Arabidopsis thaliana: one gene and its partner. The protein of the gene in region 2 interacts with the protein of the main gene of each other region in a pairwise test. Each region holds a gene or a part of one and is shown on either strand. Other genes may lie near its edges.

The links. Proteins that work in one complex are often made in the same cells at the same time.
Region 1: the proteins of SPK1 (region 2) and AT2G34150 interact in a two-hybrid assay, tested with the Arabidopsis thaliana proteins (one study listed by BioGRID).

The regions. Positions count from the first base shown.
Region 1 is NC_003071.7:14,418,733-14,425,197, forward strand, and holds AT2G34150 (SCAR family protein), read right to left. Parts: upstream 4,740-6,465; 5' UTR 4,528-4,739; coding exon 4,373-4,527; intron 4,130-4,372; coding exon 3,966-4,129; intron 3,960-3,965; exon of another isoform or gene 3,674-3,959; coding exon 3,550-3,673; intron 3,443-3,549; coding exon 3,346-3,442; exon of another isoform or gene 3,315-3,345; coding exon of another isoform or gene 3,255-3,314; coding exon 3,187-3,254; intron 3,109-3,186; coding exon 1,512-3,108; intron 1,425-1,511; coding exon 1,329-1,424; intron 960-1,328; coding exon 855-959; intron 760-854; coding exon 700-759; 3' UTR 531-699; downstream 1-530. UniProt on the Arabidopsis thaliana protein: Involved in regulation of actin and microtubule organization. Part of a WAVE complex that activates the Arp2/3 complex. Regulates trichome branch positioning and expansion.
Region 2 is NC_003075.7:9,238,625-9,243,417, forward strand, and holds the start of SPK1 (guanyl-nucleotide exchange factors;GTPase binding;GTP binding protein), read right to left. Parts: upstream 3,006-4,793; 5' UTR 2,973-3,005; intron 2,776-2,972; 5' UTR 2,437-2,775; coding exon 2,359-2,436; intron 2,283-2,358; coding exon 2,120-2,282; intron 2,040-2,119; coding exon 1,948-2,039; intron 1,856-1,947; coding exon 1,743-1,855; intron 1,653-1,742; coding exon 1,597-1,652; intron 1,504-1,596; coding exon 1,406-1,503; intron 1,277-1,405; coding exon 1,139-1,276; intron 897-1,138; coding exon 585-896; intron 1-584. Other genes in the region: CBL6 (calcineurin B-like protein 6), read right to left, coding at 3,881-3,956, 4,035-4,147, 4,239-4,372, 4,454-4,562, 4,634-4,693, 4,778-4,793. UniProt on the Arabidopsis thaliana protein: Guanine nucleotide exchange factor (GEF) for Rho and Rac. GEF proteins activate small GTPases by exchanging bound GDP for free GTP. Controls actin polymerization via the two heteromeric complexes WAVE and actin-related protein (ARP) 2/3.

The DNA.
Region 1 (6,465 bases), on a different chromosome or scaffold from region 2:
CTAGACTACCACCCAGTCACCCACTTGATTTTAGACTTTTTAGTGTTTGTGGTTGCATCTTTTTTGGTAAATCTGGCTGTCTCGCCAATTTTGCTTTGCTCTAGTGATCCAATCAAAATAATTTCTGATTCTCTTTCTTTTAGAAATAATTTTTCCGAACATAAAAGTTTAAGAAATTTAACTTTAATAACGAAATTCATTATGTATAAAATAATTCTCGTGAAATTGTAAGAACTAAGAAGCATATCAAATGCTTATCTTTGATCAAAAAAAAATAAAAAATGCTTATCTTTTGTTGTATCAGATAGAAAGTGAAAATATTTAAAGAAGTGTACAAACAAGGACATAATCTTTTTTCTAGTGTGTCAAGTACTGACTCAAATTAAAGAACACAGCGAATTTCACGGCTTAGGGCTTCGGGTACTTATATAGTACTAATGATTATTTTCCAAGATCCTATATTTGCCAACTCACGTTTTAATGTATACCTAAATAATTTGTTTAAAAAAATAATTAATTCAGTTCTTTTGTTTGTTTAATTATCAATAATCATCTAGAGATTCAGACGTAACATATTCTATAATTATTTTATTTTTCAGAACCTTATCTCTTTGTTGAAGATACAAATATAAACGTACGACAAAATCGACCTATATCTACTACACAATAAACATATGAGAACCGAAATGAATGATGTTGTCATGTGTCGCTATCGCTCCATGTATCGCTTTCGCCTTCTCCATCGTCGCTTGCTACAGCCTGATATAACAAGTCCGAAATGTAAGTGCTTTAATGACCAAAATGGTACTTGCAAACTGAAACGTAAGATTATAAATGTGAATAATGTATGGAACCTGTCGGATAGAGTTTGCCTTCTCTAGAATCACGCTAATATTGGTGTTCATTGTAGTTTCTGATGATGATGTCTTTGTCCTGACCACACGTCTCAAGTTGAATTGCTGTTATGATTCAAAAGGTTGTTGTTGGTTAAGAAAAATGCATTTTATGACTTTGTGGAAACAGAAATGAGAATTGGAGGATCAAAAAATCATTTCTCCCATTTCATTCCTATACAAACGAAACTAAAAACATGTTCAAAATATATTTCCATTTCGATTAAGAGGGAACCGGGACAAAAATGAAATACGAAAACAAATGTATATATTTTTAGTTTTAAGGGTTTGAGTTTTTTTTTTTTTTAATTATCGATTATGTAAATATGTTCCTTAATAAAGGTTACTTTGAATTAATAGAATAGGGAATGCATTTTCATATACCACAGAAATTTTCTATATAGCTAAAATATAAAGCAAGAATAAAAGACTCACTTTAGTTCGAATTTGATGCAAGAAGTCTCCAGCTTCTGTCTCATTTGTGTTGCCATGACTTTGCTTATAATCCCTCACATTGTTCTTCAGATGTACCTATCAACCATCACATAAAATACCTTATACCAAAAAGATGAAAAAAAAAAAACAGTAAAAAGGAGAAGAAAACTTAATTCTCCATACCTTGGTTACAAGTTTAGGATCAGAAACAGTGACAATGTGTGGTTCTTTTTTCTTGACTGCAGTTAAAGAATTGTTGTTCTTCTCAAATGCCTGTGTGAGAGCATCCTTTAGAGACTGCTTGTTGTTATCCTCGAATCCAGCTGACGGTATTTTCGAAACCATCCACTGTAACGGTGGGAGAGGCGGTGGTAATGGCTCAGCTGGATTTTGGAGGTAAGAGACATTTTCAACTAAACAACCATTTGTTGTTTCAATCTTTGGAAATGGAACTGGTAGAGAAGAAGCTTCAGCATTGACTCTGTGAAACGAATCATAGAGCTCTTGTTGCCTCTTGCTTTCTCGGATACCTTCTGATTCTTCTTCCCACTGTTGCTCAGACATTGACACAGAGCGATTGTCATTGTCACTGTTGTCTGAAATGTAAGAAGAAGATCTACAGAAAGTGTCCTTGTCTGAATCAGAATCAGGAAGTGAAGTAGCAATAGTCTCTGGCACCAACTGAAACGAAGAAAATGTATATTCATCTGGAAGTTTTAGCTGTAGTTCAGAACTTGGCAAGGTTTCTGAGGATTTGAAAGATATTTTCATGTGATCAAGTGGAGGAGATGAAGTAAACCAATCAAAAGGAGCCTTATAATCTTCTCTTAAGTGCTCTTGGAAGGTTTCAGAATCAATGTCTTCAACAATCTCTGGAATAGTTTCTGCTATAATTTTCGGTTTCGATGGTTTCAGTCCTAGGAGATTTCCATTAGTCCATGTTTTAATGGATTCAGTGTCACAAGAACTCTCAACTTCTTCTGATTCTTGATGTTCTTGGATACCACTAATATCATACAAAGGATTTGAGAAGCCATTGGAATAACTATGAGTGCCACTACTTATTTCCGAAGCCGCCCATGGATCTTGATGAATCAGTTCATCAGATTTATATACCGGTGATGATGATAAATGTAGCTCTGATGTAGCAGCACATTTTGTCTCATCAACACTAAAGTTGTTAGAAATCTTCTCTGTTTCTTGCTCTGTAATATCATTGTAAAGATTCTTCTGCACCTCTTTAGTGGCTTGGAAAGCTTCATCATTTTCAGATTCTGAATCGATGGTGTAAAGTGCATCAACAAAATCATCCCCTTCGCTTTCAGTCTCATCCTCATTGTCCATTTCCAGTTCCTTCGGTTTGATATCTTGGACCGCTTCAACCGCTGAATGTTCTTTAAGTCTTGATACCGGTTCAGCATCCAAGACAAAGTTAGTTTCCATTACTTCAGGAGCTTCATCTGTTGCACACTGCAGAACATTGCATTCCACTATCTCAGCTTTCTCGTGCCAACTAACACTAGAAGAACCACGAGCTGTTAAATCTTGAGAAGGACTATCACTTTCACTTTCACTTTCAGAAAGAACTGAAGCAATGGTGCGAGAACCCGGTGTAAACCTTGAAGAAGAAGATACCCTCTTCGGTTTCTCTCCACCACTTCTTGAATCGAAAGAGAAAGAACGATGCTCTTGCAAGTCGGATTTCGACTCAATTTCAATCGTTGAAGCAGTTTTAGAGGTAGAGGTTCGTCCACTGAAGCTTAAAGAAGTACATGTCTTCCTGAACATCATATCATATATTCATGTTTTGAGTCATATATGAAAACATCTCTACAATGTCAAATCCAAATGTCATTACCTGTCACTCTGGTTAGCCACAGAGGCAAGTCTTGATATATCTCGACCGCGTTGTATAGATTTTTTCTTCTGCATCATCCATACAAGTTTAGGTAGCAAACAAGAAAAAGAAGAAACTCTACAAAACATGGTATTAACAGACTGAATCTCTAAAACAAACCTTAATCTCTGAAGGTTTAGAAGCTCTTGATGCTCTTTTGAAATGAGTAGGATCCGAGTATCGTTTCAAACAAGAACCTGGACCATTTATATCAAATCTGACAAAAACCGCTAAGAATCAGCATCATATTTATTATCATCAGTCTAAAACATAGCAGAAACAGTAATAACAAAAAAGAAAATGAGAGTTAAAAGGTGTATATACTTGTCAAGCAAGTGTAACCGCGGAGGTTCCCGGCAATCTTCATATGGAGTCATAATAAACGGTGGCAATTCGTCATACATAAAGTGATTTTGCACATTTGGTATACGAGGATGCCACTCCAGACCTAAAACAGCATGTAAACACTATGTTCATTAACTATACTTAAATTTTCTAAAGAACTCAAATAGTGAAAGATCATGACTTATTTAATTAAGATCCATAAGAAAGACTACTAGTATCATTCATCATCAAATTCTAAACTCAAAAAAGAGTATTTTAAGCTAAGAAGTTAGTGCAAAAGGCATGTGAGCTAGGGCCTACAATAAACTCAACAGGATATAAATTTTTGATTAAAGAACAAACATGTGAATCTAGACATTAAAGAAGATTGACAAGAGAAACAAGACAAAAGAAACCTCCAGTGTATGCAAAATGAATGTGATTTGTTTGTGCAAGCACTGTCTTTTGGATTGTAGGAACTTTAGCTTCTATTTGCTTCAATCTCATCTTCAATTTGTTGCTTCTTGATGCTGTTATCATTACCTCCTCTTGTATTCCATGGAATATCTCTGCTGCGAATCTGAAACAATGTGAGTTTAACATAAAAACTCAGGACAAGTAAGATTGGCTGAGAACCATAAAATAAGCAAATGAAGAAGACCAAACACAGCAAAATTAAAGATTTTACAGAGAATCAAAGAAGATCACTGACTCCATATTGTCACATTTTTACTTAAGATTTTTTTTTTTTTAAAAACATTTATAAGTCAATTATAAAAAAAAAGAAACAGAGGAAACAGAGTTGACTTAAAGTACTACTTACTCTGTGAGATCACCGAGTTGACGCAAGATCCCGACGAGTCCAGAAACGGCGACGTCGTCGAGAATCGCTTTAGGGTCTTCACGGTCGACTTTTGTGTGAAGCTCTTTTTGCCCTAAACCGTAGACATTCCTAACTTGGAGCCTAACAAGCGGCATTTGCTCTGTTCTTGAGAAAGATTCCGGAGGAATGATCAGATGGGTTTTGAAGATAAGAAACAAAGATTGAGTTTTTGTGGGTTATGTTGCTTGAGGTGGGTGAGAGATTATGGCAGCTTAACCGCCGAAACGAGAGAGAGAGGGAAAATTTGGAGATTACAAAAAGGTTTTTCGTTGTAAAAAGAGAAAAGAGAGACTCGGAGACATTGCTAACACCGCAAGCCATTCCCTTTTTCAATGTCATCATTTTAACTAAAAGTGCTAAGAGAAAATTACGAAAAAGGGCTTGGAGCAAAAAGAAAGGTACCCATAACCTACCCATATGGAGCGAATCATGATCCAAATTAGTCATTTGTTACTTACATAATTTCCCGAAAATAAACTTTAGTTTTTATAAGAATTTGTTAGTGCTAAACATAAATTATTTAAAAAGAACTATAAACATTTTTAGTCATGTGTATAACCCCTACTTGTAATACTATATTTGTATGCTTAAGTCATCTAATGAGAACTTACTCTGCTTAATCTTCTACTACTAGCTACTAAAACAAAAAACTTCTACTACTTGTAATATTATATCATATACATTTTGCACAAATATGGAGTATAAAACTAGAAGTTAAAGTTTGGATCATTGAATGAGCATTTGAAGACTTCTATTATAAAATAGAAATGCGTTACAGTTTAGATAGCGTTAAAGTTTGAATCATTGAATGAGAATTTGGTCGTTTGCGAGGAAATAGACTTGTTGAGTTGGCTACATATTTATTGGAGAACAAAACTCCCATAAATGAGGCATCAATACATACGTAACACTTGTACTCAAACTCTATAGCTGTGATTTGTTTTTGTTTTTGACACCAACTATATATGAATGATGATGGTACAATTCAAAGATTTTCATAATGAATCTAGTAAAGCGGAAGTGTATGTATTGCCGTAATGGTGTGCCTCTCGCATCCTTGATCTATACAATCAAGTTTGATGTTACAAGAGTTGCATAATATCTTCCATCTACACACGCTGCGTAGTGTGTGCGCGTGTGGGTGAATGTATTCATACATCTATATCTTACACTACTTGAGGACTTGCACACATGCATGTGGATGTGTGACTTACTCCATCCTCGTTTAGGCATATATACACAATAATAAATCATGCACAAGCATTTTAGATCTGTGCTTCTAGAGTTTTGGATCTGGCTCCCATTAACCAAAGCAATTTATCAACTCGAATTCTTTTGTCGTTTTTCTTGATACTAACATATAAATACATTTTATTTATAAACTACAGTTCAGACATATGGATCGAAGATCCACAGTACTACTCCAGTACTCCATACAAGCTAATACACAGTATTAGAAGTAATCAATTCTTATGGTCCTTGGTAGGTATAGTATTATTAAATAAGTGATGCGATTAGATCAATGCATGACTTTTAGCTGGTCGTCTATTTATGGATGCTACCTAAACATAAATTTAATCACATGTCATTTATTATTTATTATTACTCCTAAATTGTTCTGTCCATTAAATATTTTATAAGTTGTTACTTGCTACTCCTATCAACCATTAATGGTAATCTTTGACGCAGATTCTATGAGCTATACTATTGCATTGTTTTCCATCATATATTATCAATCACAAGTAACTCTTCACAAAAAATGGCGGTCAATAAAGTGACACTTACAAAACTCAATGGTTTAAATAAAAACTACAACATTGCTGAAAAATATACATAAATTTTAAACACGAAATTGGTTAACAAAACAAAATTGGCGGTCATCTCATGTTTTTTTTTATATCATAGTAAATCTCGAAATGTGCTTTGATTAAAGATCAGACCATCGAATGGTGCACTAGCATTCTCATATAATTTGACATATAAAATAGTATAAGTAACAATATACTAATATAGTAGTAGTATATTAATCATTT
Region 2 (4,793 bases):
TGTCCAACTGATCAAGACAGTTTAAAGAGATTTTAGATATGTATTTCCTCCAGATAAAAGCAGCAATATACAGTAAGATGTTATATCAATAAAAAGCATTCCAGTTATTTGTCTGATGACGTTACCAAACACGATTCAGATCTGAATTTTTTTGTGTGAGTAAAAGAAGAGAGAGCTCGGAAATCTTGTTTTCTTGTGATGTATTTAGTAATATACTTATAACTAACTACACTTCAGAAGGGAAAACAGAAATGAAGAACTTCTATTCCTCAAAACTTATGAATTAAACACCATGACCTAATTGTCAAATGCTACCAAAATTGATTCATTCAAATAGAAAACAAAAAAAAACTGTTATCAATTAAATACAGAAGTATTTTGTCAATCGACTGTGCATGCAACTCTACTTGCTTAGATACATATCCAGTTCAGGAAAACCCAACCAAAGTGTACCTAGCAAGTAGGATTTTCAAATTGAACAAAATCTATGAAAAATGTTCCACACCATGTGAAGTTCAAAGCACTGTAAATACAATCATAAAGAACATGGTAAAAACTGTGGGATTTGATAAGAAACATCCTACCTGAATGGACTCTTCAGAGTAGCTCTCTTTAACTTTATTTAAATTAGATATTTCAACTACGACAGAACTTCCACCTGAATAACCTTGCTTTCCATCTGATGTGATCTTTGCAATTGGTTCATAAACACCATCATGGGAACTTGACGCAGTCATACTAGGAGCAAGAGGACTGCTAGGGGAAGCAGATTCACCAGTGTTTGTGGTGAGATTATTATCAAAAAGCGGAACAACTGCCCAAGCAAAAGACTCTCGGTAAGGCATAATGCGAGACCAGACCTGCAACTTTTGCTTTTCCCTCTCAGTTAAGTGCACCTGATTCACATAAATAGGGTAATTACTAATTGTTATATCAAGATCCAGCTATCACCATGACTACTCTAAAATATATATCAAAACAAAGAGTAAAGACAGATGATATATGCCATTATAAGTCACAGGCTATCTCCAAGTTACTCCAAATAAATGTTGAAAGACACAATCTCTAAGACCAAGGCATTCACATGAGCAAGAGACTCTAGAGACAGTAAGGGAAAATTCAGGATTTTGGAAATTACAGGCTCTTTACGGGAATAGACAGATGATGTAACGCCTCCTTCCTCAGTTGCTGTTTTTTCTAATTGAATAAGCAGGCAAACTGATGCTGATGGGGCATCTAGATAAAATACTCCACGATTTTCAGATGAAAGTTTAGCCTGCAAGAAAATGTACAAGGGGCGGCAATTTCGCAAAAATGACGTGAGAAAAAACTGAAATCACCTTTTATATAATCATGAGAAGGGAAGAGGCAAAAAGAGGACAGTTGGCTCTAATCAGTTACTTACATCCTGCATTTCCGTCGGCTGAATCTGGAAATAAAAATCCTCAGAGAGTTTCTCCTTCCTCTCTTGATTGTACAATGCAATCGAGCCAAAAAATGGTTCTGCAGGGATGCAAGAGAAATAAAGAAGGAACTTAAAGAAGTTGAAATAACTAAAATTACAGAAAATAGACAGCAGTTAGTCAGAATCCTCACCAACTAAGCCAGACTGAAAAGCTAGAGACAAAACTCTGACAGAGATCTTCAATCCACTGTGAAGATAATAAAGAGGAACAGAAGTACAAATCAGACAAAGATAATAAGATCAGGTAAAGCATAGTGACATGCAAAAAAAAAAAAACCTGGAATAGCTAGCTGCAGGAGATTCAGGAGTTCTCTGACCAAAAATCATAGCTCTTTCATTTTCCCAGTCAAAAGCTGGTTCATAAGCAGGTAAAGGAGGTTGCCCAAAATGCTGAAAAAAAAAAAAAAAAGCAACACCTTCAAAGTAAGAACCAAAGGATGAGAAATATATAACAGAGCAATGAAGTGAGTAAAAGAAGACACCTTAGAGGATCCAGGATCAGAAAACGGCCTCCCGGAAATACTGGCAACATCCTCCTCAATAGTTGCACTCCTGGCACTAGCAAGACGAATCTCTGAAGAAGCAGAGAGTTAATTGATGTACAATAATTGACAAAAGCAAAAAAAATAAAAATAAACAATGCATCATAGTTACCAGTCTCAGTATCAGTATCAGGTCCTTCAAAAATCTGAGTCTGGAAAGAATCAGGTCGAATATTTTCATAGTGACCGTATTTGTTAACATCTTTAACCCATTCAGTGCCATAACATTGAACCAATTGATTCAAATGTGGCCATTGTTCCAGATTCTCATCAAGCTGAAACAAAAGAGAAGAAACACATTAACGAAAAGAGAGAGAAAACGCGAATAAAGGTTGAGGAGAGTTTAATTACCAAAGGATCGAGCTTAGGGAGAGCAAGAGGCTGACGAGGTAGCTTACGAAATCGAAGACCAAGATTGTTGTTCTCCATTGAGATAGATCTAATACAATGTGAGGTACTACTACGCCATTAGAGAGAATTGGGGATTTGTGAAAACCTAGAAATGGGAAAAGGACATTGTTGGAGTAGTAAGTAGATCTGAGTGGGGGAGCTAAAGGAGGAGAGGAGGATGAATCTTTGTCTTTACGCAGAGAGGAAGAGATCCGTGAGAGGAAGCAGTTGGGAGAAAAAGTGAAGATTACTCAAGAGGAAAGCAAAAGTCGAGCTGGAGCTGTAAGTCCAACAAGAGTCCAACTCTACTGTCCCTTTTTTCTTTTTAAATAACAAAAGAGTCAATCATTGGGACGACCAAAGACGATGATACCTCACCTGAACCAACTTAAAGAATTGGAGTAAGTAGTAACCATTTTCACCAAAAGTCATTCCAATTCTCATTATACCAAACAAAATGGAATTAGAAAGTATACGGCTAAAGAATTTAGTTGTCACACTTTATTGAAATTAGGATTGTTGATTTGTTTCTACGGATTCATGTTGAGATAAACCGTAAACGAGTTCATAGTTACCTTTGGTATCTATGAATCGGTGAATCCCAATCTTTAGCCATTGTTTCAGAGTTGTTGCCATTATAGTCTACCATTGCGGCCTTTTTATATATCATTCATGTTAGCATTAGGGTTATAATTTCTAAAAATTGATCACCTCTTTAACTTGTGCCTAGAATGTTAGGCAGACCCAGCCAAAAAATTAAGTGGGTGAAAAAACGTTACACTGGTTAACATAATTATTGGGCTTCGTGGCTTCTCTCTCGTTGACGGAGAACTTAACGGTGTGTGATTCCAAGTCGGATTAGAACCTCCGTTATATATCAATGGGAGTTTTGGCCGCTTGTTGCTGTTGAGTTGTGTTGTCTTTGATTGAAACGACGGCGTATACGTCCATTTTGTCCGTGACATATTCGATATGGTTGACGTCACTAGCTGATACAATTTTGAGCTCAAGAGTTGGGTTCTCCACGGCTCTTTGCAACTGTGATGAAGATATTTTCGAGAGATCTAGTATTGTTTGTTCTAATCTTGGGAAAATGTCCAAGTATACAATGATCTATGAGATTCAAGTTAACCAGTTTCTCATTCACATGAATCTTTCCTTTCTCATGTTAAAACTATCTCGCCATTTGGGTTCCCTGTAAAATATGGTTGTCCGGATTTTACTCCAACTAACAAATTTAGATAGAAAGAAAGAAGAAGCAACAAAATAAAACTAATGCCGAGTAAAAGAATCAATTTGCACACTCCAACAGATAAGATAAACCGAACAAGTTTGCGGATACACAAACATGTGAGGTAATGCTGCTTTCAGAACGTATTTATTAAAAATAAAGAGGAGGGTTGTAATAGAGTAATGGAGAAGAAGATAAGAATCAAGTATGAATGATCTTGTAAAGGGTTTTGGTCTTTCTTCACATCCCTGATCATCCATCCAGCTCACTAGGAGTGTCTGTCACTATAGTGTGAAATACAAAATTTGGAAACGTCTTTGTTACGTCTCTACACAAAACACAACATACAAAAACATGTTAGTCCCGCACGAAGAAGATAATAAGGCAAATAACATGGCTAGCTTACTTGAGATGTTGAAGGCTCATGTTCTGTAACAGAGAGGGGTGGCGCAACACAAGACTCCTCCACTCTTCCTTATCAATCTTCCCGTCCAGTTTAGTATCAGCTTCTTCAAATGTCTACACACACCAATCAGTTTTTACATCTCTTGTCAAAGATTAAATATGAGAATCCTAGTTAGTGTCAATGGAGGAGATCAACCAAACCCACCTTGTCTATGATGCTCTCAATCACATGATCAGAAAGGTTCATGCCAGATTCAGCTAGAGTCCGCACAACCATTTGCTTCACCTCCTGTCTCTTTATATAACCTTGCTGATTCAGATCATACAGCTTGAAAGAGACTGCAGAGACAAAAGATGAGCTTGATCCAAGGTTTGGATATGACAAAAAAAAAGAAGGTCAAGTCTCTCTCGACCACTTACACTCAATCTTATCCTCAAATTTAGCATTAGGGTGAAAGACCGAAAGTGAACGAGCAAAGGCTTCAAAATCTAGAATCCCAGTATTCTTGGTATCAAACAAGTCAAACACCTGCAAAGCTTGAAGTATGAGTGTACAGCAAGGAAACTCATATAAGTGAGTTACAAGTCTATCTAATTTACCCTATCAGCAAAAAGGCTTCTCGTTGTGTTCATTTTGAATAGTACCAATTGAAATTGTTCCTGCAATATATTTGAAAGGATCCTAGTGAATGTAGAGGAACAGAGAGATATAGTACTCGTGTCCGACTATGGATTCTTGCATACCTTGTCGATAAGCCCG